Oreochromis niloticus: one gene and its partners. The protein of the gene in region 3 purifies or fractionates together with the protein of the main gene of each other region. This does not show direct contact. Links are inferred from orthologs where the notes say so. Each region holds a gene or a part of one and is shown on either strand. Other genes may lie near its edges. The genes, in order: kif20a, anapc1 and mad2l1.

The links.
Region 1: the proteins of mad2l1 (region 3) and kif20a purify together in Homo sapiens (affinity purification with mass spectrometry; 4 studies listed by BioGRID and IntAct, with this or other methods). This does not show direct contact. The link is inferred for Oreochromis niloticus from reciprocal best matches to the Homo sapiens genes MAD2L1 and KIF20A.
Region 2: the proteins of mad2l1 (region 3) and anapc1 purify together in Homo sapiens (affinity purification with mass spectrometry; 3 studies listed by BioGRID and IntAct, with this or other methods). This does not show direct contact. The link is inferred for Oreochromis niloticus from reciprocal best matches to the Homo sapiens genes MAD2L1 and ANAPC1.

The regions. Positions count from the first base shown.
Region 1 is NC_031975.2:12,692,359-12,696,189, reverse strand, and holds the start of kif20a (kinesin-like protein KIF20A), read left to right. Parts: upstream 1-1,337; 5' UTR 1,338-1,516; intron 1,517-2,612; 5' UTR 2,613-2,622; coding exon 2,623-2,790; intron 2,791-3,230; coding exon 3,231-3,341; intron 3,342-3,436; coding exon 3,437-3,556; intron 3,557-3,744; coding exon 3,745-3,831. UniProt on the Homo sapiens protein: Mitotic kinesin required for chromosome passenger complex (CPC)-mediated cytokinesis. Following phosphorylation by PLK1, involved in recruitment of PLK1 to the central spindle. Interacts with guanosine triphosphate (GTP)-bound forms of RAB6A and RAB6B.
Region 2 is NC_031978.2:10,099,577-10,103,407, forward strand, and holds the start of anapc1 (anaphase-promoting complex subunit 1), read right to left. Parts: upstream 2,642-3,831; 5' UTR 2,449-2,641; intron 1,656-2,448; 5' UTR 1,632-1,655; coding exon 1,416-1,631; intron 1,046-1,415; coding exon 881-1,045; intron 673-880; coding exon 630-672; intron 545-629; coding exon 447-544; intron 1-446. UniProt on the Homo sapiens protein: Component of the anaphase promoting complex/cyclosome (APC/C), a cell cycle-regulated E3 ubiquitin ligase that controls progression through mitosis and the G1 phase of the cell cycle.
Region 3 is NC_031967.2:3,973,841-3,977,440, reverse strand, and holds the start of mad2l1 (mitotic spindle assembly checkpoint protein MAD2A), read left to right. Parts: upstream 1-1,381; 5' UTR 1,382-1,519; coding exon 1,520-1,583; intron 1,584-2,048; coding exon 2,049-2,195; intron 2,196-3,529; coding exon 3,530-3,600. UniProt on the Homo sapiens protein: Component of the spindle-assembly checkpoint that prevents the onset of anaphase until all chromosomes are properly aligned at the metaphase plate.

The DNA of each region.
Region 1 (3,831 bases), on a different chromosome or scaffold from region 3:
ATCTCATATCCCGATATAAGACATCTATCGTCTGATAACCATATAAATCACAAAAATGTAACATTTTCTGTAAATTCTGTGAATGTCGGGCAGCTCGACTTGCGTGAAGTGTTTCCAGCTGGGCGTCGTGTACCTGGAGTCGAGTGTTTTAACTTATGCATGAAACGATACATTTTTAGACATAAGTTGTAACAGCCGCCGTTTTCTTTGTGAGTATTTATTACACAGCGTGCTGCGGGGAAAAGCCTGTTCTAACGTTTGAGTCAAAGGTTTATTTTTTAGCTCTTTTTTTGCTTCTCATCCGTAAATACTCTGCAGACTCTTTCACGTGATTTAGTTGATTTTGAAAAGTCTCAACAGGATCTTGAGCTTTATTGTGAAAGGTTTGCTAACGACAACGCATAAAAACAGGCGCTTGTCCGTCCGTAGTGTGGTTATATTAAAAATAAGAGAAAGAGAGAACTTTAAGAAATTAATATAGCCACTACAGTGACCATCAAAACGATGAAAAAAATATTGCCGTAAACAGTTTATTTTGCGACACCACGAAACAAACGTAAAATGAAACGATAGACGTTTTTATATCTCATCCGATATATATCGTTATATGAACAGCCCTACCTCCGACTGCTGCTCTTTGTTGCTTTCGTCGCATTCGTCGTCTGTGACGGTCCAAGTTTGAAGCAGGGATTTCGGAGTGCCCCATGTATAGCGTTGGAACCCAGTCAGGATTTGTTTCATCCATTTCATAGGCTGGTTTGCCTGCAATTATGCTAAATAATTAGCAACTCCATAAACAGAACGCAGTTCTGCAAAATCCCTCATTAAGATGTTTGTTCTAATTTGCTATGACTTCATAGCGCATCGAAAATAAAACGAATATGAACTTATTTAGAACTTACCCGAATGAAAATGTCTGGAACACACCAGCAGATATCTGGGGATGGTAGTGAACTGGATATCAGCACGTCTCACAGCTGCTATCCAGGCTAGACGCCTTCTTTTGGTAACATCCGATACAATAGCTCCCTCGCGTTGCCTCCAGGTGGGGAAACAATGAAAAGATAGCCCATTTTCAAGCTTATTCCCTTGCCGGTCGTGCGATCTAACGTTACAACCCAGCACACAGCAAGTACGAACCATAGCTGATGTTATTCGCGTGCTTTGTTTGGCCTACTAAAATGGCACCTCGACCAAAACTCCTGGCCACAGCCCCTCCCACGACGTCACGTTCCAAAGCCCATGCGCCATGCGAGGTCCTGTTAACCAATCAAAGGGAAGACAGCGATACACTTTACCCAATCGGCGAGCCTCCCTGTGGGGAAGCGCATTGTTCAAAAACCCAAAAAGCAATCGGGTAAAGCGGCTCAGCTGGTGCTAAGAGATCCAGACAAAGAGGGTTTGCTGAACTGATACAGTTTTACCTCACCGTTGGTTTTTGGCGATCTATCGTAAACATTAAGCTAACGAGCTTACTGGAAACCAGGCACATTTTGGACATTCCAGGCAAGTTAAAGTGAGTTCTACTTAAATGTGGGCCATACGACGTTAAACAAGTTAATTTAATAGTTACAAAAATTAATATTAGATTGTAACTATAACTGTTTGACGGAGGTTATGTAAGTGTGTGTTAAGCTAAATGCAATATCCACGTGTTTTGTGTGCTTGTTTTTGGTTTTGAGTGACTGCACGATTTTCCCATTTAAAACCAGGAAGCAAATCTCTTAGTTAGCATATATTGGTATATTGGTAGAAATCATTGTTATTACTTTATGTTAGCTAGTATAAACATTAAAGTGACTCTGTTTAATTCACTGCAATATAGGCTCCGTTTACTACGTCCTTACTGGGGGCTAAACTTGGCTACTTGCACATGTAAAAGTGCAGCATTGAGGGTTTTTTTTAGTTGCACTCAGTTCTGAGACATCTTCTTTTAAAGGCACAAAGTTGGCTTGCTTTAACAAGCAGTGAAAGGTGAAGATGCCTCGAGTGATTTTTGAATGCTAAACGTGGATTTTATACTTTTTAAATGCTGCTCAGTGTAACACGAATACCATTTGAATTTTTAAAAAAGGGAATGAAATTGAAAAACCGAGACTTCTAAAATCGCTCATCTTAATAGCTACAAAGAATAAGCACTACAGAAACCCAGTGCCGTAGGACCTGCTGTAGAGCAGTTGTATTGATCAGCACTAATGCCAAACTTGTCTGGTCTGGTGAAAGCCTGGGAAATATTTCCTGTTTGACTACTTAAGCAGGTTCAATTTGGCTTTAAACAGTAAACTAGTGTTCCTTTACCTGTCAGCTTGTTTGATGACGACACACCCATGTTTAACTAATTCATAGCAATGAAATGCTGCTTGAACAGAGAATAATCCCATTTACTACTGGACATCATTACATCATTATAACAAACAACACTCACACACTCGTGAGTAAGTTTAGTTTTTCATCTTTTATTGTATATTGCTGCTTTTCCAACACAAGCCTATATTATTCTTTCGAAGTGACTTGTGCACATGCCCTCAGTCAAGCCCATGTTTGAAACATTTTGCAATCCTCTTTTAATAGAATTACTACATACTAATGAAAACGTGTTATTCTTGGAACAGATAGACGGGCATGGCGCTGTCTTTGTCATCTCCGTGTGGATGCCCCTCTGATGAGGAGGAGGAAATGGCTGTGTTTGAATCTACAGCAGCAGAGCACGGAGGTTTGGCCAGACCACGTCTACCAGAGATCTCTGTTATTTCCCCGGGCCTGGACACAAGGCCATCCATTACAGGGCCGGTAAGAGTTCCCAATAAAAAAACATCATACGTCCCTCAGGTATAACAAAACATGTTCAGAGCAAATCTATATTAGATTTTTTGTTTTTTGTGTGTGTCTATATATATAATTGATCAATATTGCCAGAGGTGTAACAGTTTTTCAAAGCCATAATTTCATACCTCGCTTTTCTTTCAGAGGAGATGTATAACATTCTGTTTAAACTACATCATTCTGACACATTTCCAGTTCACGTGTTACCTCACTGATTCTTAAACACTGCTGCTTTCTTCAGTCTGGCAGGCTTTAAATAGGCATTAAAAGCCCAGATGGGTATTGCAGTAGAGCGAGATGCAATATGTAAAATTCTAAACCCTGGGATTGCAGTTTGGTGGTGTTGCACTTGTTAATATTTTTCCATTCTACCATCAAAACATTTACAAAGATGCTTGTGTGTTTAGAAAGTAGCAGTGAAACCTCAAAGCTGCGATGAAGGGGCCGCTGAGAGGGTGAAGGTTTTCCTGCGCATCCGACCACTTACGGACACGGAGCGATCCAGAGGGGAAGAGCAGGTAAGACATTAAGGTCAACATTGTTGTTTCTTCTGGGATAAAAGCTTTCAGTACTCTGTAACTGTACTTGAGAGTCTATTTTGTTTTTCCTTTAGGGTTGTGTGGCTATCCAAGACGAAGAGACCCTGCTGCTTAAAGCTCCAAACGACTCTCAGAACATGAGAGCAGCAGAACGAGGCATCACTCCGAGTATTCACAAGTTCAGTTTCACGAAGGTAGGAGAGTCATATTTGTAGCTTCTCTTTACTTAAACATATTGTTTCCAACCTGAAAACCCATTCAGAAAAAGAAACTGTGGTAATCACGTGATAATATTTTCAGAGAAGAACTTTAATGTAGTGGGGAAAATGGGAATGCTAGAGTAAAACAGTGAAGATGTTTTTTTCTTTAAATTTCCCCTTAGATATTTGGTTCTGAGACAGCGCAGCAACAGTTTTATGAGAGCACAATGAAGGCGATGATAAACGATGTGCTTCGAGGAGAAAATAGA
Region 2 (3,831 bases), on a different chromosome or scaffold from region 3:
CTACTGAGTGAAAGACACTCGTAAATACACATAGCTATGCACACACATAAACTCACACACACTTACTTCCCACTGTCAGTGATGCAAATTTTCTATCATTACTGGTTAACCAGAAAATGGTTACCCAATAATGGCTCTGAGAAATATCCCTAATCCAAATGTGGTGGGTTGTGTGGTTTTAGTTCAGCTGCGAGGTGGGGTAATGTTTCAGAGACTTATGCATCCACTAATCAAATTATCCTTTTATTCAGCAGCGTTCTGGAACATGGGAGACACACAAAGAAGCCTGCAGTTACTGCTGTATGTCAGCGTGCATCTGTGTTGAGGTGGAAGTTTAGGTAGTGGAGGTCCAACTGAGTCACACAGATTTAAAAGAATTTTGTGGCTCATGTGTAGACCCATCTCCTTCTCTGGATATAAACATTCCCCATTGCTCTATACCTCACCTGGAAGGGCAGTGGTGAGATGAAGTCTTTTCCAGTCATGGTGTGAACATTAACACAGCTACTCTGGACAATACACACTGTGAGCTCCACTTCTTCCTCTGCAAAACATTAAATACATTCTGTGTTTTGTTCATCAGGACTGCAATATGAATAAGCAAAAAACTGCACAAAAAGACACAGTACCATCATTCTTCTTGTGAGGAGCAGCAAAGTTGCACCACAAGGCCTGGAGATAATAAAAAAAAAACTGTTTCAAGTCTTAGAGCACAGAATCCTGACAATCATCGCGGACGATATACAATCCATATAGTAAAGCAAAAGCCATACTGATTCCTGACAGAAAACAACATGGTCCCTCATTTGCCCTTAGAAATGAGAATGGACAAGCACAATTATGAGAGACCATATAGTACACAAAACAATCAGAAACAGACCTGCTGCACTGGGCTGTCAACAGTGAAGGCCTTATATACGCTGGAAGCTTGAGCCCTACTACCCTGGCTCCAGACAACCACGTTTCCTGCTGCATAGAGTTCTTCTTCAAATTCCATATCTTCCTCTTTGACTCCCTTGCAGCCCTTCCTAAGCTGCCAAAATTCCTGCCATTCAAATCACATCAACACAAAAACCAAATCAAAACCACATTTGAGCTTAACAACACATGAAGTACTGCCTTCATGAAAGCAGTGCAGCAGTGTTGTAACAATTGCATTGACTATATTACTGTAAAAAATAAATAAAAAATAAGTAAAGATTTAAAGTAATTAAAGATATATTAATGAAAAAAAATTAAATCCTTTAGGTGTATTCCATTTACCATTTTTCTTCTTATATTTTTACTGTTTAATACACACTAGTTCTTCTGAAGAGCAGGTCAGGAGAACAATTCAGGCTATCCATTAAATAAGACTGTTAGATGGCCCACTCCTATTATGAAACATTATAGATCATAATACTAGACACTCTCACCCTCTCTCTCTCCTGCAGACTGACTTCCTGCAGGGACCCCACCAGGCCAGCAGCACCATCTGATGCCCACAGCTCGGAGGCAGGCTGGAGCTCTCTGAGCTGCAGGTTGAAGGCGTTTGGATGGTTCCTGCAGTGCTCGCGGCCAAACGGGACAAATGACTGCAATTCCCCTGCGGCAATCATCGTGGCTGTCTCTTCATACACGACTTCCGACATGAGTTTCAGATATCAGCATTATTTCTGGGAAGAACAGAGTTTGAGGTATAAATGACAGTATTTAAAAGCAAGCAAGACTTTTTTCCAGACACAATACAACTGAAGAGCATCACCAATTTGCGCCATACCAGTCCGTTTAGCTGTAGTATTCATATCGATTATTTAACACGATAAAAATAAAGTATGGATCCTCGAGACAAGTTTACTGTAGTATTTAAGAACCAAGAGTTTCACATAAACTGTTCTTTCATTTTCTCTTTATAACATTAATGATGAGATTACTTTTATCAGTAGGCTATCTGTAAAGTACAGTAAATACCAGTGAGTATAAGATGAGGTGTAAATAAACTTCTTCTGCGTAAATAACTTTATTTCATTTACTTGACTGTAGGACAGATTGCATTACTGGTGGCTAAATAATGTTCTCTATTAACACATCGACAACTTAGCTGGCTGAAGCAGGCTCACTGGACCTTTACTATTACTGAAACTATCCCGTTAGAGGGGTCAACATAGTAGGGGATAGAAATCTCATTAACAATTTCCACAGTACTTCCACCGTAGCAAGTTTCTGTTGACTTTGATAGACGCGACATGCTAGAAGTTAGCTGGAAGTTCTTACCTCAAAAACTCCCACAAACAAAATTCGGTACTCTACAGACACTAAGACGCTGTAAATTACATAAATATACAACTTGACAGTCAGCTATGAGTCTGCATGCTGACACTAAACACCATTGAAACGGCCCGACTAGCATGCTAGCTACCATTAGCTGCAGCTAGCTTTAAGCTTACAGGGAGACATTTAGCCGCTAACCTGATAATAAGGAATAGTCTGGCCCTTGTCGCGGAGTCCTTATCTTTCCTTTCAATGCGTCTCGCTTGAGCACAACGTTGTCACCCTACAAACATAAAGACAAGTGGCAAATTCCGTATTCGCCTATAGCAGGTTTTCAAATGAGCGCGGACATCTTTGCTGTCCCGACATCCCATTCCTCCACGAGTCAGCCAATCAGCAGCGAGGAGGCGATATGCTGACAGCTGATAGGCTGCCTTCGTCAGCGCTATGGACACTACTAAGAAAGACTGTGATGAGCAGGATGTTTTATATAAGTAATTCAGCCACAAATTAAAAATATAATATAATTAATATAAAATATAATTTAAAAAATAAAATACCAACAGTATTTGTAGAAAATCTAGGTATATATAGATATTTGAAGATGAAAAATAAATAAATAAAACGAAACTCATTTGTTTATGTCTTTCTTTAGGGACATTTACTATTAGAGACCATTGGTAAATTTGCACTTGAGGCTTCCAGTAAAGTGAAAGCTTTCGGAAAGGAAAGCAAGAGGCTCAGAGATGTCGAGGATATAAATAATACTGCACAATAGGCTACTTCAATGCAACCAACACCCTTACCTCTTTAAACTGTATTTATTATAACATTATTTAGTATAGTTCCAACAGCACCCCCCCCCCTCCCCCCACTCAATGTGCAATATCATCCCGCCCCACACACACACACACACTCAATGTGCAATATCATCCCACCCCCCCACACACACCACACTCAATGTGCAATATCACTGATCACACTGCACTGTTAGATGGCATGTATGTGTATGTATATAGATGTAAGCGTGTATGTGGAAATATGTGTGTGTATGCATGTACGGATGCAAATATATATATATACATATATGTGTGTATGTGGGTGTATGTTTGCAGGTGTATGTATAACTTGTGCATATCTTTCTTGTGTAAATGTAAATTTGTCTGTTATTGTGTAAATACTTACGCTATTGTGTACTCCACACACATGGAGAGATGCCAAACTGCCTTTCACTGTTCTTGTAACAGTGACAATAAAAGGCTATTCTATTCTATTCTATTCTATTCTATTCTATTCTATTCTAATACTACAAATATTATGTCTTGTAGCAATAAAACGTTTTTGAATATCTATTAAATTTATTTAAAGCTGTAATTTAATTATGTATTACCCCCATATTTCTGCTGTTCAACCCTTCTATATGTGAGGGCCAGTCTATCACAACAAATTGGGTTTAAAAGGAGGATGGCTTTAAAGAAAGATAATCTAAAATATTTTTAGACGGCGAATAAATTTTACCAAGGTCTAGTAGAGAACTGTGAATAATGCAAAGTCACTCTGTTTAAATATACTGTGACCATA
Region 3 (3,600 bases):
CTGCATTTATCTTTCATCAAAACCAACTCTAGTTGTGGGCAGTACTTCAAAAAAAGATTGGTTTCAGAACCTATTATCCCCACTGAGGTGAGGCCATACATATGTATTTCCTATCTTGCAACCTGTGGTATAAGTTCCAGCTGTTTCCCTCCTAGAACCAGTCCACCCCCTCCCTTAGCAAAATAGTGCCTGACTCCTACAGCCTCTCCTACAGGTGGTGGGCCCACTAGACAGACTGGCCCATGTGGATAATTCAGTCAGAGTCTGGCAGGTCCCCATGAGTTATGACCTGGCCACCATACACTTGCCAGTGGGCCCCTCAGTGGTAGGGCTGAGGTATCCCTTTCCTGGAAGAGGTATCATATTTCATAGGTTTTATCATCATAGGTATCTTCTGAATCACAGTTCGTTCGACTCTTCACCCAAATCAATTTGTCTTAGGAGATGATACCAGGGAACAATTGTCTGGAAAACAAAGTTCTGAGATCACTGGGGTATGTAAAAAAAATATACAAAGTGTGAGAAAATCCAAGTACCATAATAGTCAAAACACTGTAAATATGAAATAGAAATTTGAGAAAAAAACATTACCTGACCTAAATATGAATGACTGTAAATTTTCACCTACTAAGTACTGTCTGATGTTTCAAATGTAAATGAAACGTACGAATTAGAAGTGAAGGTTAACAGATGTGTAAATAATAATACTTTCTGACAGTTTGATGTGTGGTGTTCATATCCTGTGTCTGTGTGGGGACCTTGTTAATGAGACCAGCTGCAGCTGGAAAGAAGCCATTTTTCATGAATCACAAGTTTCCCAAAGAAGGTTCGAAGCTTTTCATTAATTTTGGGAGAAGTTGGTCAAATCTAATCTGCCCACTTAGTGGTCCTGGAGGTGTGCAGGTCCCGCATGGCTTTCCTCCAGAAAGAAAAAGCCAATTACTGACTGAGAAAAAAACATCTATGATATATATATAAAAAAGCACATAGCAAAAAGAGAAGTACAGCGCCAACAAGACTTAAAAGCTAGCATTAACTGAAATTGTCTTTCTTTTGTTTTGCAATTTTGATTCTTTTGTGTGAAAGCTGAGGGACTTTTCCAAGTCTGCATACAATGGTTGTTTGGACCCCTTTAGGATTATTAAAACGTGGTATCTACAATATTAACCTATTACTTCAGTCATTTGCACAGTGACACATTACAATAATATACAGTCAATTAAAAGATAGAAATGGCTTTAACATAAGAAAATAAATAAATGCCAACAATCCTGTGTAACGTTCAGACCGTGGCGTTGAATTATTATTCTACACTGCTCTCTAGTGTCGCAAAATTGTAAGCGTAACCTAAGACGTCATCAACCTTGCGCCCCAATCTCACACGCATGCGCAATTGTGTGGAAGCTGACAAAATTCAAACTGGGTGGCGGGTAGTTGAAGTCGGAAGACGTAGAAGAAGAATTAAAAGAAAAACGTACAATATATTTATTGTTGAGAACTCAACCAAAGTGTTAAGAAAATGACAAGCACGTTGAAGGGAATTACTCTCAAAGGAAGCGCGGAGTTAGTAGCCGAGTTCTTTTGTAAGTATTTCTGTTATTTCATCTTTTAGTCGCTCGTTTTCGACATGCATGCATGTAAAGCTAATATGCTATTGGGCCTACATAGTGCCCGATAACATATTAGCATCAACGCAGCATGTATGCACTCACATGACAAGCTGTTGATCAAAAATAAAGTGTTTAAGCCTGACGTATCCTATAAGCGTCAATTCACAACTTCAAACCGAATAATTTGTAAAGACTGTCTAGTTTTCGGCCCTTGTAGTGAGAATCGTGAATGTACACCATATATGGTTTCTATTCTGCCGAGCTAATATATTCATTGATTCCCAGTTAGTTTTCTCTCGTGTTATTAGCTGTTTGTGTGTAGTTGTTTTTATACTCTTCTATCCCTTTTAAGTTTGAACCACATAAGCCTCTAAATTTTACGAATACTAGAATTCTGGCGTATTTGAACCCTTTGATTTCCCCCTTTGTCATAAACAGCTTTCGGCATCAACAGCATCCTGTACCAACGGGGCATCTATCCTCCAGAGACATTTACCAGAGTTACCCACTATGACATGAGTCTCCAACTCACTACTGACCTCAAGCTGAAGAACTATCTGACTAACGTGGTGTCTCAACTTAAAGGTATCTCAATAGTGGGCTTCTCCACTCGTGACACAACCAAGTAGAAAGTGGAAAAACTCAACAAGAAAAAGTAAAGGCTTAAGCCGTACTGAAATACAAAATAAGATGATGTTTGTGAACAATGAATGATTTTGTCTATTTATTTTGATAATTCGGTTATCGGTCTTTACTCAATAAATGATAGTTTATAGTAACTTGTTAATTGCGATTTCTGAGTAGGGCCACATGGTGGTGCATTTCCCCCTCCCCTTTTTGTTGTGTTGAATTGGATGAACTCAGATGCCTATTAGACTCATGCCTGAGATTTTAATTGGTATGACCTGGCATCTTATGATCAACGTTAAGTAACATACAAAGCAGCACACGTGAGTTTCCATTCCCATGTTACACAAATTTGTGTTAAGCTACTCTTAGGCTCTTGTCAGGTGAACTACAAGCTATTTCTGGTTAAAAACACTTAGATTTTTTTTTTCATTTTTGATTTGCCAATTTTTGATTTTGCCATAAATACTTATGTGTGTGAATGAGGAAAGAGATCGGTGCACCCTTTTCTGTCCAAGGTGATGCCATTGTAATATTATATTTTATTTTTTATTTTGTTCTTAAATCCAATGCCCCCAACTGTTGATGGCTGCCTCCTCGGGTTTCTTCCTGTTGAAAAGAAGTTTTTCATTCCCATCAATGCCTAGTGCTTGCTGTTCTTGGATCATCTGATTGTTTTTCTTTTTAAGCCTGTGGGGGTCTTTACTTTAAAGTATAAAGTCTCTTGAAGTGACTGTTGTGATTTTTAGTGCAATATAAATAAAACTAAATAGAATAAATGTCTCTGGATTTTCAGTTCAAATTTAGTTAATGTAATTCATATCAGAATATTCATATTTTTGGGTGCTTATGTCAAATCACTGAAGCTCTCAACTGTGTAATGCTAAGAGTAGTAAAATTACAGAATACAAATCATATCTAGGAGCACAGAGTATAAGTGCTTTTTCTCCTTTAAGTTCTAAAGATGTTTTAACTTGATTATTGGGATTTTAAGAATTGGTGTTAGTCAGAATGGTTACTGAATTATTGATGATGTTGGTTAGATAAAGACATTATGGTTGAGGGTGGTCATTCTTGCCACAATGTGTACAATATTTAGTGTACATTTGCATTTACAGCCCATATTCAGAATGGCTATTTTTCTCACAGACGTAGAACTCGTGATCTTTTGGATATAGTTGTGGATACAAAATTCTCTACATCTTTGTATTATGTTTTTAGGGAGTTTAACTATCTCTCACCTTTCATGACAACACATCATTAAAAATTTGTTTGCTCTTTTTGTGTTGCAGAGTGGCTTTTTGAGTGCACTGTGCAAAAGCTGGTGTTGGTGATTACATGTCTGGAAACCAACGAGGTGCTC